Linked DNA regions of Sus scrofa. The protein of the gene in region 7 purifies or fractionates together with the protein of the main gene of each other region. This does not show direct contact. Links are inferred from orthologs where the notes say so. Each region holds a gene or a part of one and is shown on either strand. Other genes may lie near its edges. The genes, in order: DPF2, RBBP4, CEBPB, CHD7, RB1, HDAC2 and SMARCA4.

Region 1 (3,500 bases), about 63 Mb from region 7:
CACCTCAGCTTACATTTCTGCTCCTCAGACCTCTGGGAAACCGGGGTGGGTGGCTGCGAGTCCTCCTTGTCCTCGCCCTCCTCCTCAGCCAGGTGGGAATGGGCATAGTGGTAGCTGAGGCCTGGTCGGTTCTTGTAACGTTTTCCGCAAACTGAGTGGGTTAAAGATCACAGAGAACGGTGTTAGGACGTGAGAGGGCCATATCCCTGCCCCACTAAGCTGGGAGCTCTACCTGAGGCAAAGGTAACCACCCCCATCAGCTCTGTTCAGGGACAGGCCTTCAGTGGGAGCTGCCTCCCCCTGGCCAGGAACCTCAGGTCCTGGGGCTCTCTGGCTTGCATGGCTCTTTTTACTAACCCCAGCCCAAGGCCATCTCTACTCTTCTGCACAGGCTCTTAGGAAGGCTGAGCCCTTGCCCCATCACCACTTGCCCTGGGAATAGTCTGGGGAGCTCCAAGTCAGGAAGGAAAGGGAATTTCTATAGCCTTGCAATATGGCAGGACAGACAGAGGGAGGAGGGACTCCAAACTTGTTTACCTCTCAGTAAATGCGGGAGGTTCACACTACCCCATATACACCACAGCCCATCTCTGCCCAATGTGGATAAACGAGCAGGGGGTGGACCTCTTGGGGGATCACCTATCAACTAATCTGCTGGAGTAGTTATTCCCCAAAGAAACTCAAAGACACCCCCACATCAGTGCCCCACCCAACCTCACCAACCAGCAAGAAAGCAGATCCCCATGAGGCATCTCGTACTCTTGAGCAGTGATACCAAAAAGAGCAAGGGGGCAGCAGAAAAGGGACGAGGAAGGGATGGGTGGAGGAGGTGGCGGATGGCAGGGAACATTAGCTGACCACCATGTGTCTGTTTTGGGGAAGGGGCAGCAGAGGGATCTGTTTGTAATGCGTTCTTTACAACGCTTTTGAAGCCACCCCATGCAGTGGGCCCGAGCAGCCCTAGGAGCAAGTCTGTGGGAGACAAGCAGTGGTAAAGGCAGCTTCCAGGGCTGTGAGGAGTGGAGCACAACAGAAGGCCCACTGCTCCTATCCGCATGCCATTCCACAGTTTAAAACCAGCATCACAGATGAGAAAGGCAGGAACAAGGGAGGTGGGACAAGGGATAGGAAAACCAAAAGTCTGAAAAGTTGAGAGAGCTACCTCTCTGGGGCGCTTTCGAGGTATGCTTTTGTTTGAAACTATCTGAAAGACAGAAAGAAAAGTCATGAGAAGAAGGCCTTGATACACTCGAGACAGGTGCGGCAGCAGCAGGAAAGCAGAGCAAACGAGAGAGAAACCTCAGCGGCGATGGTGCTCCCAGGGTAGAGGGACAGAAGTGGGGCGAGTCAGAGAAAAGGGGGAGAGAGAACAGACATTGAAAAAGTCGGTGTTGGACTCCTGGGGCTCTGGTTCGACTAAGGCAAGCAGACCTGAATGCCATTTATTGAGGCCAACCCTGCCTGCTGGGTGTGCCCCCTATTGGCACCCCCACCCCAGAGGACAGCAGACATCTCCCCCAGAACATGCAGGGCCCACCCGTCGTGTAGCAGAAGCCAGCACCCCTCAGGGATCTCAGAGGGAACCAGTCAGGGGCAGGACAAGAGTCCAGGCTTGTTTTACCATTCTGAGCAAGAACACAACCTTCCCTCCTCTCATATCCCGAGGAGCTGGGTCCAAGGCAAGGACTACCCACCCACTCGCGAGGCACTCACTGTCACAGGCATAGGGTTTGTCCCGATCCTCCAGGATGGAAGCGTCCAGCTTCTTACGGGCACTGCCCACACCTTTACCCTGTGAAAAAAGAGTAAAAAGATGGCTTTAACTAAGGTATCTCAGCCTAAAGAGTTAAGACTCACCTGGAAGCGGCTGCGAATCTCACTCAAGAGGGAAAATGACAACAGGTAATAAAACTGTGGGAAAACAGTAAGCAATAAATCCCCACTCCCTCAGGCTGGAGGCCGCACCCTGGCCCCTCACCTTGGACTTCCCCTTGCCCCGACGCTTGGGAGTGTCTTCTTCATAGTCCTCATCATCGAGGTCATCCAGGAAGTCATCCGGTTCTAGGATCCGCTGAGTGGACAAGAGGATTAGGACAGGCAGAAATAAGGTACTCCCAAAAGCTCCCCGACAACGGGGAGCCAAGGCTGCCCAGAACCTCCTCTGTTTTAGTTCTTCTCTTCCCCCCCGGCCGTACCACATGAAGAAGTTCCCAGGGGAGTTCCCGTCATGGCACAGTGGTTAACGAATCTAATATCCACGAGGAACCGGGTTCCATCCCTGGCCTTGCTCAGTGGGTTAAGGATCCAGCACTGCAGCTGGCCAGCAGCTGCAGCTCCAATTTGACCCCTAGCCTGGAAACTCCCATATGCCATAGGTACAGCAAAAATAAAATAAAAATAGGCGTTCCCGTTGTGGCTCAGCAATAATGAACCTAACTAGCAACCATGAGGATGTGAGCTCAGTGAGTTAAGGATCTGGCGTTGCCGTAAGCTGTAGTGTAGGTTGCAGATGTGGCTTGGATCCCGTGTTGCTGTGGCTGTGGCACAGGCTGGTGGCTACAGCTCCAATTTGACCCTCAGCCTGAGAACCTCCATATGCCAAGCGTGTGGCCCTAAAAAGACAAAAAAAAAAAAAAAAAAAGTTCCCAGGGATCAAACTTGTGCCACAGCAGCGACCTGAGCTACTGCAGTAACAATGCTGATCCTTACTGTACTGACCCACAAGGGAACTCCCAGAACCTCCTCTGTGACCTGGTCCCTTCCCTCCAGCCTCACTGCTGTTCTTTCAATGTTCTGGGTTCTCCTTCCTCTGGGCCTCTCTTCATGTTGTTCCCCTAACTTAGAATGCCTTTCCTACCATCTCCAAGTAGCCAAATCAAATGCCATGTTTTCATAAAACTTTCCCTGATACCCAAGGTAGCCATGCCCTCTCCTGCCTGTGGACTGCCACCCTGGAAGCATGTTATCAGTGGTTCCCTCTGACACTTCATTTCCTACATTTAAATTAGAGCTTTGCTGCTTCCTTGTGGGAAGCTACTTTTTTTTTTTTAAACTCTGCTTCAGCCTCCTTCTACATGTTTTGTTTCTTTTTCACAGCTGCACCTGCGGCATAAGGAAGGTCTCAGGCTATGGGTCAAATCAGAGCTGGAGCTGCTGGCCTATAGCATCGAGGGATCTGAGCCATATCTGTGACCTATGCCACAGCTTGTGGCAACACTGGATCCTTAACCCACTGAATGAGGCCAGGGATTGACCCTTCATCCTCACAAAGACTAACTGGGTTCTTAACCTGCTGAGACAGCAGGAACTCCAGCCTCCATATATGTGAAATGGGGTTGTAGAGACTGGAGAGAAGGATGGAAAAGTATTTAGTACAGCACCTGGAATATTTTTAGCTCTCATTATTTTTATGTATAGTTCTATCTTCCTTGTTGGTAAGCACCAAAAAACCTTGGTGACAAAAGAAGACCAATCAATGCCAGAGTTCCCGTTGTGGTGCA
Region 2 (4,067 bases), on a different chromosome or scaffold from region 7:
CTGTAGCACATCAAGTTCCCAGGCTAGGGGCTGAATCAGAGCTACAGCTGCCAGCCACAGCCACGCTCTGAATCTGAGCCACATTTGCGACCTACACCACAGCTCACGGCAACACTGGATCCTTTAATCCACTGCCAGGGGCAGGGACTGAATCCACATCCTCATGGATACTGGTTGGGTTCGTTACTGCTGAGCCACAACGGGAACTCCAGATTTCCCCATTTTTAAAAAGCTACTACGAAAGTAGCATGCTCATTAAGTTGGCAATGAAATTTCTATAAAATTTCTATTACTTGTTGAGCTGAAACATAGGCCAACAACCACATTTTACAAATATCTTGACTCAAAAGACCTGAGTTCTGAAGGAACCTAGTTATTTAGCATACATATAACTTTCAGCTGTTACTCTGAACACCAACAGTTTTGTAATAAAAAATCCATTATTCCCCCAGGCACGCTCAGTTTGTTAAAGCTTTATACTACTTAAAGTCACCTTCCTTTTCACACTGTCACTTCCCACTGAAAGCCTTTCCTGATATTCCAAGTTGAGATAATTTTCCTTTCTCTGATCATTTTATCTTTGCCACTTTCATAATTATACCTGCCTATTCACTAGACTTGAAAGCAGGTACCATGTCACATTTACCTTTGCATTAACTAACTAGAAAATACCACTGACTGCCGAGATTCAAACATTTTGATGTTAAAAACTGAACTCATCCTGATAGTTTCTGAAAGCTGACAAGTTTTACATTACCATTTGGTCAACTACAGCTATAATCCCACTATTCAATTCAGTGTTAGGAAAAGGAAACATCTCCCACACTGCTGGTGGGAAAGCAAACTGGTGCAGCTATTATGGAAAACAGTATGTAAATGCCTCAGAAAACTAAGGATAGAGTTACCATATGACCCAGCAATCCTACTCCCCAGTATATATCCAGACAAAACTATAATTCAAAATGATACATGTACCGCTATGTTCACAGCAGCATTATTCACAATAGCCAAGACATGGGAACAATCTGACAGATGAATAAAGATGTGGTACATATATACAATGGAATACTACTCAGCCGTAAAAAGGAAGAAATAATGCCATTTGCAGCAACCTGGATGCAATTAGATGATCATACTAAGTGAAATCAGAAAGAGAAAGACAAATATCATTTATATTGGAGAGTCTAAAATATGACAAACCTATCTACAAAACAGAAACAGACTCAGATATAGGAAATAAATTTGTGGTTGCCAAGGGGGTTGGGAGAGGGAGCAGGAGGTGGGGGTTAGCAGATGTAATAAGCTAGTCTACACGAAAGTGGTAATAAACAAGATCCTACTGTATAACAAAGAAAATTATATTCAGTGTCCTAGGAAAACCATAATGGAAAAGAATATATATCCAAAAAAAAGTGTACACAGGAAACTGTGATTGGGTCACTTTGCTATACAACAGAAACCGAAGAAGCATGGAAAATCAGCTGTACTTTAAAAACATAACTGAATCACTTTGCCGTACAGCAGAAATTTACACAACATTGTAAATCAGTACCTCAATAAAAACAAGTAAATAAAAAGAAAACATCAGTATGTTCTCTCTTATATGCTAAACTGCAAAATAATTTTACATTTTGCCTTACTTTCTGGCCTAGGAAAAAAATGTCACCAATAGGCTTTGATCACGTGTCCTCTACGGGTGACTGGAGAGAGGAAAACAGGGAAAATCAATGTGAGAAATCTACACTGAGGACACAACAAAACAGCATTCGAGAGATTCCTATCACCTGGTTACATCTGGAAGCCACTGTGCAGTTAGGCTGGGCCACTCCAGAGCATGGGTCATCACCAAATCGTAAAGAAAAGGGGTGTTCTTTTTCCATATTTTGTACTCTTCGTTGATCACACGTTCTTCTACTGCGTCATCAAAGGCTGCTAAAAAATTAAGAACAAATTAAGTTAGCGACCACAAACGGAAACCGAGTAAACACTTCCAAAGCTACCGTCACGGCTCCTGAATCCTGATTCTGAAATGGAGATTAGTCTAGATCTCCCGGAGGCGCAGGCACCACCACCGCTCTCCAGCTTCGCCGGGCGGGAACTGCTCGGGTAATCCCGACCAGACACTCCGTTAGCCCTTCGGGCGACGGCGCCCGCCGTCGAGCGCACAGAACCGACGGTGAGACCGAGCACCGACCCCTGCGGGTAGGGAGAGCGGCCGGGAGGACCCGGAGAGAGGCAGGTAGACCGACGGGGAGCGCGGGAGGGACCAAACACCCCCCCCGAGGCCACCACGGCCAGCCTCACACCGCTGCGCCGGGCCTCCGCTCCAGAGGGGCTGGCGCGCCATGAGCCCGCCCCGCGGGGCGATTTTTCCTCACGCCTGCGATGGCGGGGACGGCCCTAGGCAGAGTCTGGCCTGCCCCCACCGTTAGGCCGCGTTGAGGCCGCGGCGCAAGCCTGACTCCTCCCGCCCTCCTGGGGCGGCCCCGGCACCCTCACCTTCCTTGTCCGCCATGGCGTACAGGCAAGCCGGGGGGATCCTGGGGCAGAGCGTTGCGAGAGGGGCGGGGAGGCTGCGAGCGCTCCTTCTGCGCGCGCGGCCTCTATTGTTTCCTGCTGCCCCTGCGTGAGGGCCGACTCGCGCACCTTCGCGCCAACATCGGCCAATCGGAGTGCGCCGAACGTCGGTGTGGGCGGGGAAGCCGCGATCGCAGCCTATCCAGACGCGCGGAGCAGCTTGCCTCCAGGCCCAGGCGCGCGCTCTGCCCCTGCCCCCACACGGCCCCAAGCCGACTTCCTCCGATCACGCGCGCGCGCTCGCGCGCGCGGGAGTAGTAGAAGTGCACCCGCCCGGGGTCACGTGAGAGGTTTAGTCCGCACGCTTTTGGGGGCAGCCATTTTCGTGAAGGGTGTTAAGCTAGCGACCCCTTCAAAGTAGTACTTTAGATGGGAAAATGTAGGATGCTTCCGGGTCTAGTTATCTATTGTGGGGCTAGGCGGCAAGAAAAGGCCTCTATCATTCAGATCGAAAGGTGTCTAATTCGTGTCCCTTATTCCACGTCCTCCAAATTATTTGTTTCCTTAGTCGTAGGAAGAACTATTAAGCAAGAGCAGAAAGTGGGTCCTTCGACTTTTAATGATGTGCTCCAAACCCTGGGACACAGAACGGAAGTCTAGAAGGATTAAGTACCTCCCAGGGAATGGAGCCCTGGTCCTTTAAGGGTGTGCCAAGGGGCGGAGTCTAGAGCGGAAGTTATAAGTCAGGGCCGAAGTCCAGCTGAAGAAGGGCGGAAGCTGAGTTTGGGTCCAAAAGCACAATCATGGCGCTGGAAGGGGAAGATTTTAGAGATTACAATTTGACTGAGGAGCAGAAGGCGATCAAGGCCAAGTATCCTCCAGTCAATCGGAAGTACGAGTGTGAGTAGGTGTCTCACTTCTCTCATTACCTGGGGCTTCTGGCCTCGCCTTCCACTTTGTCCCCTACGGTACTTCCGGCACGTTCCCTTTTAGCCCTGTTTGTCTCTTCTGTGCTTGTCCCGCGGATGCTGAAGGGAAAAGCCACCCGGTCTGAATCGGAAATCTGGGCTTCCACATTTAGTCTTTTGAACTTTTTCTACGTGTGCCTATTCACGCTTACTTTGTGGGAATTTTATTGGTGTATTAATTCTAAACACAACCGTGTTTTCAAGCGTTTGCGGAGTTGTCGTCTCCTAAGAGTGTGGCTAGGTTAGGGGACTGAAAGCTCTCAGTAGGGAACTTCTAACTTGGTGTTTTACCTGTATCGTGTTAGTAAAAAGACCTGGTTTTGCCATATTTAGTTAAGTGACTTTAGGCAAATCACATAACCTTTCTTTGCATTCAGTTCCTTCATGTGAGGGATAATTGAGATAAAAATAAATGTGAAAGTGTAGTGCAGACTCTGAAGTTCTATATAAACCTTAAGCTATCATCCCTAAAGGTGGCTGTGGTCTGGGAAGGACTAATCTGACTCTAATATCCCTGCTTAAAATATTTCATTAAATTCCCCTTGTCTTCAGTATAGAATCCAACTATTTACCATAGCTTAC
Region 3 (2,817 bases), on a different chromosome or scaffold from region 7:
CCAAAAAAACAACAACAAAAACAAAAACAACAGCAACAGAAACAACCCCGTAGGAACATCTTTAAGCGATTACTCAGGGCCCGGCTGACAGTTACACGTGGGTTGCGTCAGTCCCGTGTACACACGCGTTCAGCCATGTTTAAACCGATTGCATCAACTTCGAAACCGGCCCGCCCGCCGGCGCCTGGAGAGGGGGCAGGAGGAGAGGCAGAGTTTATCATTCATCTGTACACATAGACATTTCTTCTTTAAATAACACCACGGGCGGGCGCCTCATCTGCATGTGCGGTTGGTTTGGACAAAAATATAGATATATATAATAAAATATTAAAATTACCGACGAGCTCCCCGCGCTGCCAAGTGCCCCAGTGCCAAAGTTTTGCCGGCGCCACTGGGGGCGGGGGCGGGAGCGCGGGCGCTTCCCGGAGTCACTGTGGCCGCGGCGCGCCCGGCAGCGCGGAGGCCGGCGGGCCGGCAGGGGGACGCGCGCGGGGGCCGCGCTAGCAGTGGCCGGAGGAGGCGAGCAGGGGCTCGGGCAGCTGCTTGAACAAGTTCCGCAGGGTGCTGAGCTCGCGCGACAGCTGCTCCACCTTCTTCTGGAGCCGCTCGTTCTCGGCCGTGAGCTCCAGGACCTTATGCTGCGTCTCCAGGTTGCGCATCTTGGCCTTGTCGCGGCTCTTGCGCACCGCGATGTTGTTGCGCTCACGCCGGATCTTGTACTCGTCGCTGTGCTTATCCACGGTCTTCTTGGTCTTACTCTTGACCTGCGAGGGCGCCGGCGCCGCCCCCGCGTAGCAGGCGGCTGGGGGCGCCTTGGCGTCGGCGGGGCTCGGCGTGCCGGGCGGGCTGGACGACGAGGATGTGGACAGGCTCCCGCTGCTGCCGCTCGGCACCGCCTGGTAGCCGAGGTAGGCGCGCAGCGCATACGGGAAGCCAGCCGCCATGCCTGCGGCGCCGCCGCCCGGCGCTCCGGCCTCCTCCTTCCGCTTGCAGTCCGCGGGCTCGAAGCCCGGCTCCGCCTTGAGCTCGGCCGGCTGCGGCGGCGGCGGCGGGGGCGGCGGGTGTAGGGGCGCGAAGCAGCCCGGGTGCAGCGCGTTCTTGGCGGCCCCCAGACGCCCCAGGCTCACGTAGCCGTATTCGGCCGCCTTCTTGCAGTTCTTGCCCCCGTAGTCGTCGGAGAAGAGATCGGAGAGGAAGTCGTGGTGCTGCCCGGAGGAGGCGGGCGCGGGGGCGGGCGCGGGCGGAGCCGCCTCGAAGGTGTCGGTGGCCGTGGCCGGCGCCGGGGCCTGCGGCGCGCCCAGCGGCTCCAGGTATGGGCTGAAGTCGATGGCGCGCTCGTGGTCACCGATGCTACCCAGCTCGCCGGCGGGGGGGCGCGGCCCGGGTCTGGCCGCGGGGGGCGCCGCGGGGGCCGCCTTGCCGCCGTACGCAGCAGCCAAGCAGTCCGCCTCGTAGTAGAAGTTGGCCACTTCCATGGATTTAAAGGCAGGCGGCGGCGGCAGGGGGAGACATGCTGGGTCCCAGGCCACCAGGCGTTGCATGAACGCGGGTGCCCGGGGAGGGGGCCTGGGGCTGCCCGCTCCGGCCGGCCCGCAGGTGGCGCGGCCTCCTGGCTCCGAACTGTCGCTGCTGTGTCGCTGCTGCTGCTGTTGCTTTTTCCGCTGGATTGGCCGCTATTAGTGCGGGGGCTGGTAGCTGGACCCTCGGGTGGGTCCCCTTCCCGGTCCCGTGCGCGGCTCTGACTCGCTAAAGTTTCTCCAGAGCCCGGTTATTTATAAGGCGGGCCATGGCAACGGCTGCGTCACGCCTGGCGGCCGCCCCAACCCCTCCCCGGGCACGCAGAGGACACGCTGTGGCCGCCCGAGACCCCCGGCAGGGCGGCGGTGGGGCACCGTGACCTGACTGAAGATCTGGAGCGCGCCCTTGGGGGGTCCTCCGGCTTCGGGGGCCGCCACACGCCCCCTGCCCACCCCCACCCTTCGGACTCAGGATTGGAAGCGAGAAGAGGCGCGAACCCGCCCCCGGACCGCCCCCTCTGGGCTGGAGGCTGTACTAGAAGGGAGGGGGGAATCCGGGGAGGGGGCGACGCCATCGCCTTCCCCCACCCTAAACGCGGCCGCGGCCCGCCCCCTGCTGGAGGAGGCCGTGGCTTCAAGATCAGCGGCTCTCAGCCCCAACTCCTTAAGGAGGGGACGCGCCCCAGGCGGGATCCTGGAGACCCCAAACCCCTGCTCTGGCTATTGGAGAGGTAGCCCATCTCCAAAGCCCTTCCAGGGCCCGGCCCCGCCCCTAAACTTGCCCTCGTCCCCAACTTTTGGAAGGAGAGGATTTCACGCCTATAGGGACTTCTCTCCTAAATGCGAAGACTTGTGGTTGGGGGCTTTGGGAGTGCAAGTCTGGAGCAAGCTCCACTGGAGCATCTGCCAGGGGCCCGACCTTGCCCCTCTCCTAGCCCTGCCCAGCACAGCCGCCCGCCCCCTCAGACCACACCCGGGTATTCTCCAGCCCCACCCCACTCCCACTTGGGCACCCAAAGTGTAGAAGGGGGTGTAGGTGCTAAGCTCTGACATTACTGTGTCACCTTGCGCAGGTCACTTAGCTAACCTTCAATCCTTGAAGGTCTCAAAACTTATTATTAGTTGTATTATTGTCTCCACCACAGACTCCCAAACATAAGGCTTTCTGCTCTAAGATGCACAGCAGAGAGAAGGGCCTCTCCCAGGGTGTAAAGAGGCCCAGAGGGGGCATAGCACACCCCAGGTCAGATGGCCTCATGTCCCCCACTATTCTCAAAGAAAAGCCCTGGTCCCTACACTC
Region 4 (3,500 bases), on a different chromosome or scaffold from region 7:
AGCGAGAAAAGGTTCCTGAAACTTGCAGCTGCAACCGTGCCGCAACTCGGGGTTTTCCATCAAAACAAGGTGACTCGTTAACATTCCAATGACAGTGTGGGGAAGGGCACTGCAGTGCCCTCCTTTTGAAAATATACTAAGGAATAATATTAGTATGCAACTTATAAACCATTTCTTTGTCAACTGGGGGGGGAACCACCAAGTTCATTTACCAATCGTACACAAAAAGAAACATACTTTAGGCCATGAACTATATGATAAAGGTGCTCTCCTCTGATGTAATTGCCTTGAACATAAGAAATAATCACACAATTGTCAGCTAACGACTTTACGTTAGGCAAACAGGGCAGTAGTCTCTATAAACTGGCACTATTTCAGGTACTTAGCAAATGGTTTGCTCACAAAAACTATACTTCTAAAGATGCTTAAAAGTTCTCACCAGCTGTTGTAAAACACAAATATATAAATGACCTTAATCCCCAAAACAGTTATGTTATCAAAGAAATTCAAAGTTATGAAAAACCAAGAATAAGCAAGAACTAAAATTCTTCACAGAAGAGATGAGGCTGTGTAGATGAACTCACTCTCTAAATAAGACCTGGCTGTTGTGAAGCTGCAGCAGCAGCCCCGCTGGGGGGCAGGGCCTGTCCCTGACTCGTCAGCACCCATGCCCCCCACTTTCAGGGAGCCCTACCTGGGGCACGTATTTCCATGGGTTCTTCCTTATCTTCTGGAGGAGAATTTGCAAATTCCTCGAAAGCAAAGCAAGAAAGAGAAATTATTTTAATTTGCAGTTTAATTTTGCTTTATCTTTTAAAGAAAAGGCCATCATCTATAAAGTTTAACAAGTCTTATATGGGCACATAATATTTTACTGGGGCTGTAAAAGTCAATGTACTCAAGTTCTTACATCTATTTCATCCTTGAATGGCGTTCTGGTTGGTTTGTATTCTGGGTCTTCATCTTCTCTATCAAATTCTCCCCTATATAAAATTTTTAAAAATGTTGAAATCATACTGATTAGCAAGAGACTGAAGGGAGCCTGGGAAAGAGTAAGAACCTGTCTGATGCTACTTTAAATTCAGAGTCTGACATCAAAAGCGACTCTATTGGTATTTAAAACGTGCAGCCGTGAAGGGTGGGTGGGTGGGTGGGGGTACTGTCATCACTTGGAAAAGACAGACAAGCTGCAGATTATCTAGATCATATATTGTGTTGAAATAGTCATTATGATATATAAACAGACTAAACTGGTAAACATCACTTAAGTCCAAATCAGATGCAATGTAATGCACGGTGCGGCATAGGAAGTGAACCCTGCCAGTAGATGTGACACTGACATAAAGTTTATTAAAATTTTAAAATGTCCTTCTTACCCGTCACCGCCATCTGCTAGCATGTCTGTTCCTCTCTGCTCGGCAGCGATGGCCTTGGCATCGGGCATACCAACTCGTTCCAGGAAGCAGAGCGCGGGGTCAGCTCGCATGGAATTGTACTTCTCATACCCTGTGCCGTCCCACCGGCCCGCAGAGGACACACACGGAAACAAGGAAGGCCCGTCACTGCCAGAATCACAGCACCGCCGCAACACAGCACGTTCGTTTCACCATCGAGGTGATCACTTACTTTGTATTTAAAGGAACCGGGCTGCAGTAGCCCTTTCTCTGGAACGCTCAGCCCAGGGCAGATTTGGGGGTGGGAGGGGGCAGGTTCCATCACAGGGATGTCATCAGAATGACCATGAATACTAACAGAAGAACGGGTTCTGAATAACTGCGAGAGGCCTGGGAAGATGTTTGACCCTATTGTCCCCAGGATCTCATTTTGCTTGGCATTTAAAAGGCTTCGTAATGTTCCTTGATGACCTCTGCAACGGTCCACCCCACCCTCCTTGTGAACAGCTTCGGTCCTGCAGGAACTTGCACCACTAGCTGAGAAATCCCTGTCTGCGGAAGGCCAGCGAACCTGTCTTATTAGGTTTAGGATGATGCATGTCAGGAAGATGACACTGTTCCCTCTATGGTTTTCAAACTGCAATTTGCTTTTTGACTGCCCAAGTTGACTAGATGGAAAATGGCAGATCCCAACAGTGCACTGCGGGAAAATGATTTTTAGGCTGAGCTCACAAAACACGGCTGCAGTACATAAGCAGAACAGCACAATTCAATTAGGATGTGTACGACAACACACCGCTCCTAACTGCTGTAGAGCCGCAAGCCAAACTGTAATCATGAAAGGTTTTATAAGCCATCATTCTCCCCTTTAGTCAGGCTGGGCTGCTGAGAATACCTCGGCGACCTCCAGAGACCTGGGATTATAATCAGGAATCGTTCACTGTATAGATCATGCCAGTTCTGCTTCCCCAGCCTTTCAAAGTTAACAAGGCTGCATCCCACTCCGGGGAGCCCGAGTTCTCCGCACTGACATTTGTGAAATATTGCTTGGAACAAAGCCCAGGAGGCACTTGTACAGATTAATAGCAGAGGTTAAGCCCACCGTCCACTTTGACACGGGCTGGCAGAGCTCGCAAGGGGAGCCGGGTTGGAAGCAAAGTTTAGGGAGAGCTATAGGACGAACTGGGCTGGTTTTAAAACAAATATGGTTTGGGTTTTATTTACAGCCAAGAAAGAAATGTTTTCTTCTCAAATACTCAACAAACATTCAAAAACAGCATCTGATATTTACAGTTCATATTAGATTTTTTAGTACAGGAAAATGGTAGACGCCAAGAGTCCTTTGGAACTAGCCTCATGAATATTATGACTTTGGAAAGAGTGTGCAAAAGGCTCTAAAACAGAGACAAAGCCCCACGGTCAAGCTGGGGTCCAGCAGAGACACCCCTTACCGTGTTTGAACACTCCAATCAGGAGCGACTTGTCAGCTTCCTTATCCCACCAGTCTGTGGGGACTTCTGCGTGGAAGGGCTCAGGTATCCACACGTCGGCTTCACTGTAAGGACAACCGTGGGTGTCATATTTAGGACAAATACCAGCATCAAAAAGGCTGCTGCCTGATGAATACAACACACGCCCCTTGCTCACCAGCAGCACCTGAGCAGGGCTCGCGCGCGCGTGGGGAACAAGCAAAGGTTAAAAGAAAGGGCAGGAGTCAGCCGCCTTCTAGCAGGATAGACATGAACTTCATCACCCAGCGTCCTGTCATAAAGGTCATCTCAGAGCACCCTTAACTCGGTTCCCGCCTCCCTGTACGTCCACACACACACATACAAACAGGCTTCTCCTGATTCTCTTCACGTCCCCGGGGCTGGGAGGACAAACACTGCGTTCGTTCGAGACGCAAGAAGGGAGATGCGCTGCTGCTGGGTGACAGGGGTGGGAAAGGCGGTCTGTGATGCGGTCCCACCCACACCCCGGGCCATCGCCGCTGTCTTGGACCGAGAGACGTGGGCTCGCACCCACCTCGAGTCAGCACCATCCAGGATCTTCTCGGCCTGGTCCCCTATCACTTCCTGTCTCAGGTAGTAGAGCATGCGGACACGC
Region 5 (3,500 bases), on a different chromosome or scaffold from region 7:
CCAACACAAAAAAAGTTTCAGTTAAATATTTTTCTTTATCTGTTTTAGGAAGAAGAACGATTATCCATTCAAAATTTTAGGTAAATTCTTGTTTTTGTAAAACAATTTCATCTTTTTATAAAAGTAAATGTTACAAAATCATTCTTTTTTTCCTTTAGCAAACTCCTGAATGACAACATCTTTCATATGTCTTTGTTGGCATGCGCTCTTGAGGTTGTAATGGCTACATATAGCAGTAAGTTAAATTTTAGTAAATAAACATTTTAGTTCAATTTAAAGTTAAAAAAATTTAAGGTGTGGTGTGGGGTTTTTTTTGTTGTTGTTTTGTTTTTTTTGTTTTGTTTTTTTTTAGTGGGGCAGTGGAGGAGTTAAGGAGAAGAAATGCATATTTTAGCTCTGTGTATACTGAAGAATGTAATTGGTCACCATAAACCATGCAAGTGCGTTACTAACCTGAATTATTTCAGGTCATCTTGGGAATAGTTTCACTAGGCTCCTATTCTAGGCTATACAGAATCCAGGAACTGTACCTGTTGAAATCTCTTCAAAGACTTATGAGATTATAAAACACCAGAGGATTATTATCAAGCAGCTTCCACTGATATGGAAGTACTGCCACATATGTATTCTATAGCTACTAGACTAAAGGTTGGAGGTAGAATCCACCAGATAAACAAAACAGAGGCCATCAGTACTGGGGTTTTTTGTTTTTTGTTTTTTTTTTAATATAACTTTAAACATGTATTATTTTGCGAATAATGTTGCAAATGTCAAGAAAGTTTTGTTTGCAAAAAAAAGAGAGAAAATCTTCTGATACAAATATATAAGAGAAACTTAAATTAGTAAACAAATGTGGGCAACTCTGATCCTCATTGATAACCAAGAAGTGCACACTTTAAAAAGATACCATTTTCTAACCAAATTAGCAAAATCTTAAAGGATCTTTCCCCCCTTAACCACGGATTCATGCGACAATTAAAATGGATAGGCTAAAGCCTCTTAGTTGTTAAACCTGTCCCTGGTACAAGTTTAGGGTATTTAAACCTTTAAATGTTTGGTATAAGCTGTTAGCCGTCTATCTAGGAAAGACATATATGCATATACACTCAAACTTTGAAAGCCTATTTCCTGTGAGTCTCTGGACCCCAGGATAAAAAAATTCTAAATAAAAAATTTTGCTAAGCCTTTCTACTCTGTTTTAATATATTTTTTTGATTAAAAACTTTCCAGCCAAAAAATATGTAGTGCAAAGCTTTGCATTTCATACCTGAGTTACATTTTTTTCTTTCATTTTTAGGAAGTACGTCTCAGAATCTTGATACTGGAACAGATTTGTCCTTCCCGTGGATTCTGAATGTACTTAATTTAAAAGCTTTTGATTTTTACAAAGTGATTGAAAGTTTTATCAAAGCAGAAGCCAACTTGACCAGAGAAATGATTAAACATTTAGAACGATGTGAACATCGAATCATGGAATCCCTTGCTTGGCGCTCAGTAAGTAACTAGCTAAAATAACTAGATATTCATATGCATAGAGATAATTCTTATCTGTTAGTGAAAGGCATTTGTTAAAATTTACCTCAGTAGTAAATATGCAATTTAATGAATAATGTGTTTTCAGTGTATAGCCCAAGAATCAAGTGGAGTTTTAGAATGGAGTTTTCTTTGAGTTCCCCAGACTATCTGATACAGGGATTTATTTAGGAATACCTTTTCTTAAAGCTTGGCACTTTAAAACAGAGCAGAATTCTCTAAAGCTTCACAGATAAGCAAAAGCTAAGAGACTTCAGCAACACTAAACCAGCTTTACAACAAATACTAAAGGAACTTCTCTAGACAGAAAAGAAAAGGCCACAACCAGAAACAAAAATACGACAAATGACAAGGCTCACCAGTAAAGGCATATATATATATATATATATATATATATATATATATATATATATATACAGTAAGATACGAAATCATCCACGCACAATTATGCCACCAAAATCAGAGATCGTGAGAAGAGGAGGGTACAAATGCAGGACACTGGAGATGCACTTGCAATTAAGAGACCAACAACTTAAAACAATCTTACATACGTATAGACTCATATCAAAACTTCAGAATAACTGCAAACCAAAAATCTACAATTGATACACAAACAAATAAGAAAAATCAACTCAAATACAACACTAAAGATAGTCATCAAACCACAAGAGGAGAGAACAAGAGAAGAAGGGAAAAAAGAGCAACAAAAACAAATCCAAAACAGACCAGAATTCTTTAAAGTATTTGAGAAATTTATTTAAAATAGAGGTGTCATGTTGAAAATTCTCATGTCTGCTCTTAAATTCAGCAAAATGATTAAAAATTTGAGTTTCATGTGCTAAGCATACATCTTTTCATTTAAGTTAGTATGTAGAAATGACAGAAAAATAATGACTTCAGTTAGATTAGAGTTTTAATCTGTCCATGTAAATTTTTTAATCTTTTGGTGTTTTAAAATGTAATGGCTAAGAGATAACTTGTTTCGTAGTGCTTTTCTTATGCTGGGGTGTAGAGAGAGTGGATAGAAAAGGAGAGAAGTAGGGGAAGTTGATAGATGTTGTATTTCGGTGATTGAATATAGTGACTCCTTTACTGGAGCTTCCACTTTATAAGTAAAGGAGTGGTTAGGAGCAAACGCTCAGAATCTGTAGCTTAAATGAAAGTAACATAAATAAAACAAGTAGATAAGAATACTTTTCAGATGCTGCTCTCCTTTCTTCCCCAAAATTGAAACCAAGGCACTATTGTATCATCTGAAAGTGACTATTGTCATTTCTTGTAGAGAACTACTTTTATTTCCATTAGTGCACATCTGCCGTGTGCCTTTCATTGAGGTAGACGTTGTGAGGATATGAGCTCTGAAAAATCATAGAGGAAATAGTAGCATTGTACTGTATAAAAATTGCTCGTGCTTAAGCCCATTTAGTTCAGTTACTGACTTCTAAGATTCTGAACAACATTCCTTTATTTTTGAGGATTTGTTGAGAAAAAGTTACATGAACAAAGTCTAGGAAGAGGGTATTTTTTTTAATAATAGAATGATGTGGAAGTCATATGCTTCTGAATTTAAATTCTAAGTGTGGTATTTATTGGGGATGAAATTATAGACAGTTTTTCATGTTTCAATTTTTAAAAAATCAGCAAATACTGCTTTTTCAATCATAAACAGAATGGAGTGCTAGTGGGTAACTGTGGAGATAAGTCTGCCACACAGATGATGTGAATTTTTCCTATTGACAGTAATTAACATTTCAGAGAAGAGACATACCATAGATATATTTGGACTTTCAAAGACTTGAGGGTGTTTTTTTATTTGTCTTTTTAGGGCTGCACTCTCGCCATATGGAGGTTCCCAGGCTAGGGGTCTAATCAGAGCTGTAGCCGCTGGCCTATGCCAGAGCCACAGCAATGCCAGATCTGAGCCTCGTCTGTGACCTACACCACAGCTCACAGGCTGCGCCAGATTC
Region 6 (3,500 bases), on a different chromosome or scaffold from region 7:
AATTGCCATATAATGATTACTTTGAGTATTTTGGACCGGACTTCAAGCTGCATATTAGTCCTTCAAACATGACAAACCAGAACACTCCAGAATATATGGAAAAGATAAAGTAAGACATCATTGAATTGATTTGATAAACCCTCATCTTGATATAGCTTTAGGAGCCTTTCGAAGGCCAAGTGCAGTAGGTCATGTTAAGCTTTATATGTAAGGTATTTATCTTTGTCAAAAGCAGTTGAAAACTTTATTGATTTAATTTTATACGATAATGGAGAATGTATGGGATTCATACATTTTCGGAGTTTTCAGAGTTCCCATCATGGCGCAGTAGAAACGAATCCGACTAGAAAACTGAGGTTGCGGGTTCAATCCCTGGCCTCTCTCAGTGGTTTAAGGATCTGGCATTGCTGTGAGCTGTGGTGTAGGTCACAGAGGTGGCTCAGATCCCACATTGCTGTGGCTGTGGTGTAGGCTGGCGGCCACAGCTCTGATTGGACCCTTAGCCTGGGAAAACTCCATATGCGGCCAGTGCATCCCTAAAACAAAACAAAACAAAACAAAATTTACATCTTGTATTAGTCGATATAGATTTTTCTTACTTTCTGGCTAGCTTGCAGCATATGAAAGTTCCAAGCCACGGAACAAATTCAAGCCAGAGTGCACCAATGCTGGATCCTTAACCAGCTGCACCACGGTGGGAACGCCAAGATGGATTTTTAAATTGAAAAGGACACCAAATTTTAAACTTTCTTGCTTTACACGAAAATGAAATTTATCTGTATTGAAACATTTTGATAACGCTTTACCTTAAAGAGTAAAGTGTTAGACATTGTACTACCCAGGCCTGGGTTTGTGTCCTCTATACCACACAGCAGCTCCGTGACATTTGGCAAGTTAACCTGCCTTTGTGTTTATATTTCCTTCTCCTTAAGATGGGGGGTGAAATATATATCATGTAAATTTTAAGGGTTAGTAATATGTAAAGTATCTGTTTAGTAAATGATAATATTTTACTTCATAGGTTAAGCTAGATAGAAGAGCCAGTTTTTGCTTAATGTTTCCTCTTACATTTAAAAGGGCCTTGAAAGAAAATAATATTTTCTAATAATTGTACATGTTGTAATTTAGACAGCGTTTATTTGAAAATTTACGCATGTTGCCTCATGCACCTGGTGTCCAAATGCAAGCTATTCCAGAAGATGCAGTTCATGAAGACAGTGGAGATGAAGATGGAGAAGATCCAGACAAGAGAATTTCTAGTAAGATAGTGCCCTTATGTGGGTTCTGTTATATTTTCTGGTTTATTAAAAGATCACTACAAATTGAAGGTTTTTTTTTTGGTGGCCCAAGAACCTCACTGTGGTTCACGTTTCGTGAGTATACTATTACTACTGTCTTTTCTTGCCCTCTTTAATCTTCCATAGATTTAATTTCCACTGTCTCAGAGCCTAATTTGAGTATCAGCAATTTCAGTTTATATAACTACATATATGATCAGAAGTTTCCACAAATGAACCATTTATGTAGAGTGAGTTGAATGACATTGAGCACCTTCTGTTTGATGTTACAGTCTCTAATTTCACTTGCTATGATGTGTAGATTTATAGCATAATTGTGTGGTCTATACTTGGTGTTAACAGTATTTTTTATTTCTCTCTGCTCTGAAATAAAAAGGTTACTTTTTATATGAAGATATCATTCCCACTTCCTATTAGGAAAGCACAATTTTTTTTTTCCTCTTAAGCAGTTTGTTTTGTTTTTTAATGAGGAGTAACTTTGAATTACTCCTGGATTAAAGCTGTATTTTCAGAATTTAGCAAGCCATACATTCAGTTCTTATCTCAAAATCATTAGGCATCTGTTATCCAAATTTTTTTTCTTTATAGGGCTGCACCTGTGGCATATGTAAGTTCCCAGGCTAGGGGTCGAATCAGAGCTGTACCTGAGGCCTACGCCACAGCCACGGCAACACTAGATCAGAGCTGCATCTGCAACCTGTACCACAGCTCACAGCAACATTGGATGCTTAATCCACTGAGCGAGGCCAGAGGTCAAACCTGCATCCTCATGGACACTCTGTCTGGTTCTTAACCCACTGAACTACATCGGGAACTTCTATACTTTTAAATGTTGTAACTGGCTAGTTCATTTGTACAGGAGTGCACTATAACAGTTGTCAGACATTGAGATTGCTTTTGTCAAAACTATATTAAAAATCTTTAATGTATTAGTTCGAGCATCAGACAAACGGATAGCGTGTGATGAAGAATTCTCAGATTCAGAGGACGAAGGGGAAGGAGGCCGTAGAAATGTGGCTGATCATAAGAAAGGAGCAAAGAAAGCTAGAATTGAAGAAGACAAGAAGGAAACAGAGGACAAAAAAGCAGGTAAATGTGTTTTAATTGTAAATTTTTAAAAATGAGCTGCACTGCAGTTGTTACGAGATCCTGAGGTCAATTGCACGGGTATTGGAGAGGGGGTAGGTGTGCCAAGTAGGTGACACCCCCCCCATGTTATTTAGAGCTAAATGTTATTAGTCACATTTGCTTTTATAATATAGGAAACGATCTCTTCTTAGTGACATAGGCTTAAAATAGTCAACATTGCATTATGATACAGATTGGGTAAGAGAGAGGACAAGGTAGTTTTAGATCCATTTGTAGCCTGTCAGCAAAGCTGAAATCCTAAGAGAGTTTTTAACTACCTGTAAGTTTATTTGATAGGAATAAAACACAAAAGGGCCACATTATCTATCCTTATACCAGTTTCACCATTTTGAAAAGGCTCAGAGAATAGGCTTTGTTCAGAAATTGTTTGAAGGAAACAAAAACTATAGAAAGGAAGGGATTTGGAAGCTGGGCTGGGAGATCATAACTTTCTGATGTCTTAACTTTAAAAATGCTGTCAGTTTATTGAGAAAATAGATGCTTTAGGGCATTGAATTTGCTACCAGAAAGTATTATCTTTTTTCTGAGTTCCCGGAGCACTAATACATACCTTGATCATTTTATTTTATTTTAAGACATCGTAGTATAGCACCTCATGAGGGATTTTATATAGCTCTCTGCTGGATTGACGTGTTCATGGCTAGAGAATACAGTGTCTTAAATCTCTGTATTCTCAGCACCTGGTGCATTTCTTTTTTTGTCTTTTTGCCATTTTCGTGGGCTGCTCCCATGGCATATGGAGATTCCTAGGTTAGGGGTCCATTTGAAGCTGTAGCCGCCAGCCTACACCAGAGCCACAGCAGTGCAGGATCCGAGCCGCGTCTGCAGCCTGCACCACAGCTCACAGCAACGCCAGATCCTTAACCCACTGAGCAGCAAGGCCAGGGATTGAACCTGCAACCTCATGGTTCCTAGTCGGATTCGTTAACCACTGCACCATGACTGGAACTCCGTGGTACATTTCTTGATGGATACCTGATACCAATGTGCAGTAATGGCAGTGAGCACAGGTTTCAGTTGACCTGTTAATTTTGACCATGTAGCTTGTAGAAA
Region 7 (3,992 bases):
TTACAAAGCGCCAGGCACTGTCACCCCTATTTCCTTGAGGCACCAAGAGGGAAGCAGCAAAGCTAGGCGTCAGACCTGGATGTTTGACTGGAGAGCTCTGGACCTCAGTTTCTCCACTGGCAAAATCTTCTCACCAGACATTCACCCAACACACCCAGTCCCTCCCCGTCTCCCACATCACAAAGAGCTAGGACATGGAGCTGGTGTGGGGTTACAACCCAACGTTTGAGGACCCACAAGAGGTAAAAAAGGTAAATAAATAAATATGTGTTCCTGTTGAAGTGCTTTTCACTGACAACAAATTTGGAGACCACTGCACTGCCCCCCCGCTAAAGCTCTGGTGAGGTCAGCTCACAACCACCCCTGGGCTCAAAAACCTTCAAGATCACCATCTCCTGACGGGTTGGACACAAAATGATTTTAAGTGGCATGTGGAGCAATGTTTATTATTGTCACAATTATGTATGCATTGATTTTAAAGAAAATTAGGAAAATATATATAACCAGCACATCAAACCCGGGATTTCTGGAATACAGAATGACTCTAAATTATGTTTTCAGTTTTTTTATACAGCTAATTTACATATATATAAATAATATAAACACCAATAAGTTGAGGGCTCATTACATGTCAGGCTCTGCAGATGGTAAGCCACTTCCCACACTGTCTTTTGAACTCTCACAATAACTCTCTGAGGTGACACCACTATCGTACCTGTTTCACAAGAGGGGAGTCTACTGTTAAGTGTCTTGCTTGAGGTCAAACTAGGATTAAGAGATGGGTATAAATCCAGGAGGTCTGATTCCAGAACTAGCTCTCCACACCACCACCTCATATTAACCACAGCCCTACATCTTCATTTTTGGGGGAATGAGGTTTGGGAAACAATGGCCTAGAAAGTTAAAACAACAACAAAAACCCTCCAACAACTAACATTTATCGCCTACAACCCACTTTCAGTCGTGGGCCAAGCACTTCACACACAGCTTCACTCAATCCTCCTGAACACCCTCCTCTTCATCCACAAATGGCTGCTAAGGGCCTACTACGTGCTTCAGGAGATCAGGGAGACAGAGCTGTGAGAGCTCTGATGGCCCTTGGAAAAGAATAGATGTGTAATTACAAACCCAGATAACTGCTACACAAGAAAGGATCAAGGTGATGTGAGAATAGCAGAGGGGAGCAATGACTGGTCCCAGATGGTCAAATGCAACCTGGACATCCTCCCTGATCCTCAGTAAAGGCTCCTCTTCCACGCAACCTCCCTAATCTCTGACTCCCATCACTGGGCATCCATCCACTGTGTTCCTCTCACATGACAGGCCAAGGGGAGTAGTCCCCACATTTACCACCTGTTCCCCTACAAGGCTGGAGAGGCTCCCAAGGCATCCAACCTCCAATCATCTAACACCCAGTAGGGACTCAACAAACTTTTGTTTAACAATAAAGGAGGAGATTGGACTGAACAACAAAATAGTGCTTCCCTCTAACCAGGAACCATTTTATTGGCTTTCACCAACTCCATTTGTGGCATTATTGCCATTTCACAAATGAGGAAACTAAGAGGTTCAGAAAAATTAAGTTATTTGCCTAAGGTCACATAGCTAAGTAACCAGCAACGCCAGAAATCAAACCCAACTCCAGTCTGTCAATTGAAAGTGAAAACTTACTTCAAATTCCTAGGAAGTGGTTCTAACATTATTCCCTACTTTACCTAAGGATTCACTGGGGGTGGGGGCGTGGGGTGGCTACCTAGGCTAGTCTTCAAGATCGGCACAAAACACCTTCTCCTTAAAGATCCACATCTTAAATAAAAGCGTTAATCTGGAAAATCAATTGCGAGGAAGGGAAAAGGATGGAAAACTAAAACAAAGCTTTCAACAGCAGTTCTCCCGGTCCTTCCCGACTAGCTGCGGATCCTCCGATTTAAGGCAAACATTCTGGAGTCACTACTTTACAAGGGGCTGAAAGAGTTATTTACCTTGCCTTGAAAACCTAAAATTGACTTTTTAAAAATGAAATTTTAGGTCATCTAAACCAATTGTGCTGCTAATGTTCATGTCCAGGCGACGCTGGACATATCTGGGGGTTTTCCTACTGAGCGATGACCGCAGCCTTGTTAAAAGGCAACAATCGAGTCGGACCCGTTACAACGTAGCCAGAATAGCCCGGACGCCTGGCTATTGTTATAGCCGCAGCTGAGACCGCGATGGGGGCCGGGCCCGTGGCCCGCCGACTGGGCGAAGAGCTTTGTCCGGCGACCCCGGCGAGAGCGCGCGCGAGGGGCGCGCGGCCTCCACGCGGCCCGGGCCCCCACCCCACCCGCCGCGGATACTGTAGCCGCCGCGGCCTCGATGCACTGTGGCCTTCCCCGCGCGCGCGGTGCAGGCCAGGCGTCTTGACCCTCGGGCGCCGCCGTACCCCGGCCCTGCTCCGGGCGCCGGCGGCCCCCTCCCCCCTCGGAACCCCGGCTCCATTCAAACCGTCCTCCCAAGCCCCGCGCCGCGCTCCCCCCGCGATCTGCGTTCCTTACCGGGAGTCGCCGGTGCCGTCGCCTTCCTGGCGCCGCCCCCGCCCCTCCGCGCGAGGCCGGGGGCAGAATGGGCGTCTCGCCTCTTCTCACGAAACAAAGAAGCCGCCGCTGCCGCCGCCAAGCGAGGGTAAGCCTCGCGCGCGCGCCCGCCGGCCTCGGCCGCCCCCCCCACGCCACCCGCGCCCCCGCTGCGCGCGCACTCGTCACCTCCCCTCCCCCCCACCACTAAGCGCCTCTCCCGCTTCCGCCGCCCGCCCGGTCTCGTGCGCGTGCCCGCCCGCCCTTCCGCTCCTAGAGCGCGTGCGTGTCGGCCGCGGGGGTGGGGTGGGGAGGGGGCGGGGCCAGAGAGAGCTAGCGCCCCGGACGCACCTCCCTACTTTGTGCGGGACGCGCCTGCGCTTGCGCATGGGGGTGGTTCTTCGCCTTCCGCACGTCGTGCGTCGCCACTGCTCCGAGCATGCGCAGAGCGGGCGCCACTGCGGCGGCGGTAGTGGTGGTGGTAGTGATGGTGGTGGTGGGTGGCTGGGGGATGGGACTGGATGGCGGCAGGGTCTTTGGGGAAGGGGTGGCAGAGGGGCCCTGAGACCGGGAAGTGAGGATGCAAGGCAGTGCTTGAGGGGAAGAGGCGGGGAGGCTGGGCCAGAGATGAGCAGAGCCGGCCTCCGGGTCAAGGGCGAACTTAGGAACCGTTTTCATCCTTGGTAGGGGGGATGTGGTGCCCTTTGGGCAGTCTGACGGGTACGGACTGTGGCTGTCTTTTGTGCAGAGCCTATGTAAGGCTATTAATTAGCAGATATTTATTGATTTGCTGTTGAGTTGCGGCACCGGACATAAAATTTCAGCTGCTGTGGCTCTCATGATCTAATGGGGGAGGCAGGCGCGAGGCAAGAGAACCAAGTAAAATATAAAATACACTGTGTTGAAATGGAGACATGAAAAGTGGTGGAAATTTTAAAGCGGCAGCTAGGGAAGGCCGCGTTGGGAAGACATTTGAGTCCAGTAGTAAAAGCAGTGAGGGAGAGAGCCTTGTTAGAAGTATGAAGGCCTAGAGCTTGTAGGCGGCTTCCTCTATGTTTTTAAAGTATCTCCAGCCCCACCTCATTTAGCCCCACAACTGAGCAAATGCTCCCCAAAGTCAAGTCCCACAGCCTGTGACTGTCCCTATCCCTGCTTCTCCCAGGCCCACTCTTCCTCATTTTTCAGGTCTCAGTTGACTTACCACCTCCACCAGTCTTGCCTCCTCTTTGATCACTGCCTCCATTCCCTTTCCTTCACATTTCTTGGGTACCTTTTTAAGTTTTTTTATTATAGTTGATTTATAATATCCTGTCAGTTTCTGCTGTACAGCATCCTTCTCTTCAATTTAAATGGCATGATGTTGTCAATTTTAGTCCCTAGTGAATACCCAGCATCTACTGTAGTGTGCCACCCCCACCCCCCCACAAGACAGTTTAAAAA

Evidence for each region.
Region 1: the proteins of SMARCA4 (region 7) and DPF2 purify together in Homo sapiens (affinity purification with mass spectrometry; 13 studies listed by BioGRID and IntAct, counting the BioPlex papers as one, with this or other methods). This does not show direct contact. The link is inferred for Sus scrofa from reciprocal best matches to the Homo sapiens genes SMARCA4 and DPF2.
Region 2: the proteins of SMARCA4 (region 7) and RBBP4 purify together in Homo sapiens (affinity purification with mass spectrometry; 3 studies listed by BioGRID, with this or other methods). This does not show direct contact. The link is inferred for Sus scrofa from reciprocal best matches to the Homo sapiens genes SMARCA4 and RBBP4.
Region 3: the proteins of SMARCA4 (region 7) and CEBPB purify together in Homo sapiens (affinity purification with western blotting; 3 studies listed by BioGRID, with this or other methods). This does not show direct contact. The link is inferred for Sus scrofa from reciprocal best matches to the Homo sapiens genes SMARCA4 and CEBPB.
Region 4: the proteins of SMARCA4 (region 7) and CHD7 purify together in Homo sapiens (affinity purification with mass spectrometry; 3 studies listed by BioGRID and IntAct, with this or other methods). This does not show direct contact. The link is inferred for Sus scrofa from reciprocal best matches to the Homo sapiens genes SMARCA4 and CHD7.
Region 5: the proteins of SMARCA4 (region 7) and RB1 purify together in Homo sapiens (affinity purification with western blotting; 7 studies listed by BioGRID, with this or other methods). This does not show direct contact. The link is inferred for Sus scrofa from reciprocal best matches to the Homo sapiens genes SMARCA4 and RB1.
Region 6: the proteins of SMARCA4 (region 7) and HDAC2 purify together in Homo sapiens (affinity purification with western blotting; 9 studies listed by BioGRID and IntAct, with this or other methods). This does not show direct contact. The link is inferred for Sus scrofa from reciprocal best matches to the Homo sapiens genes SMARCA4 and HDAC2.

Annotation. Positions count from the first base shown.
Region 1 is NC_010444.4:6,876,499-6,879,998, forward strand, and holds part of DPF2 (zinc finger protein ubi-d4), read right to left. Parts: intron 2,072-3,500; coding exon 1,979-2,071; intron 1,793-1,978; coding exon 1,714-1,792; intron 1,205-1,713; coding exon of another isoform or gene 1,163-1,204; intron 152-1,162; coding exon 14-151; intron 1-13. UniProt on the Homo sapiens protein: Plays an active role in transcriptional regulation by binding modified histones H3 and H4. Is a negative regulator of myeloid differentiation of hematopoietic progenitor cells. Might also have a role in the development and maturation of lymphoid cells.
Region 2 is NC_010448.4:88,985,825-88,989,891, reverse strand, and holds the start of RBBP4 (histone-binding protein RBBP4), read right to left. Parts: upstream 2,801-4,067; 5' UTR 2,516-2,800; coding exon 2,500-2,515; intron 1,933-2,499; coding exon 1,785-1,932; intron 1-1,784. Other genes in the region: ZBTB8OS (protein archease), read left to right, coding at 3,321-3,417. UniProt on the Homo sapiens protein: Core histone-binding subunit that may target chromatin assembly factors, chromatin remodeling factors and histone deacetylases to their histone substrates in a manner that is regulated by nucleosomal DNA.
Region 3 is NC_010459.5:51,721,357-51,724,173, reverse strand, and holds CEBPB (CCAAT/enhancer-binding protein beta), read right to left. Parts: upstream 1,542-2,817; coding exon 501-1,541; downstream 1-500. UniProt on the Homo sapiens protein: Important transcription factor regulating the expression of genes involved in immune and inflammatory responses. Also plays a significant role in adipogenesis, as well as in the gluconeogenic pathway, liver regeneration, and hematopoiesis.
Region 4 is NC_010446.5:72,586,944-72,590,443, forward strand, and holds part of CHD7 (chromodomain-helicase-DNA-binding protein 7), read right to left. Parts: coding exon 3,420-3,500; intron 2,950-3,419; coding exon 2,846-2,949; intron 1,507-2,845; coding exon 1,377-1,506; intron 984-1,376; coding exon 911-983; intron 753-910; coding exon 695-752; intron 1-694. UniProt on the Homo sapiens protein: ATP-dependent chromatin-remodeling factor, slides nucleosomes along DNA; nucleosome sliding requires ATP. Probable transcription regulator. May be involved in the in 45S precursor rRNA production.
Region 5 is NC_010453.5:19,248,136-19,251,635, reverse strand, and holds part of RB1 (retinoblastoma-associated protein), read left to right. Parts: intron 1-48; coding exon 49-80; intron 81-158; coding exon 159-235; intron 236-1,297; coding exon 1,298-1,494; intron 1,495-3,500. UniProt on the Homo sapiens protein: Tumor suppressor that is a key regulator of the G1/S transition of the cell cycle. The hypophosphorylated form binds transcription regulators of the E2F family, preventing transcription of E2F-responsive genes.
Region 6 is NC_010443.5:79,870,598-79,874,097, reverse strand, and holds part of HDAC2 (histone deacetylase 2), read left to right. Parts: coding exon 1-109; intron 110-1,128; coding exon 1,129-1,259; intron 1,260-2,231; coding exon 2,232-2,387; intron 2,388-3,500. UniProt on the Homo sapiens protein: Histone deacetylase that catalyzes the deacetylation of lysine residues on the N-terminal part of the core histones (H2A, H2B, H3 and H4).
Region 7 is NC_010444.4:69,716,015-69,720,006, reverse strand, and holds the start of SMARCA4 (transcription activator BRG1), read right to left. Parts: upstream 2,801-3,992; 5' UTR 2,535-2,800; exon of another isoform or gene 1-2,534. UniProt on the Homo sapiens protein: ATPase involved in transcriptional activation and repression of select genes by chromatin remodeling (alteration of DNA-nucleosome topology).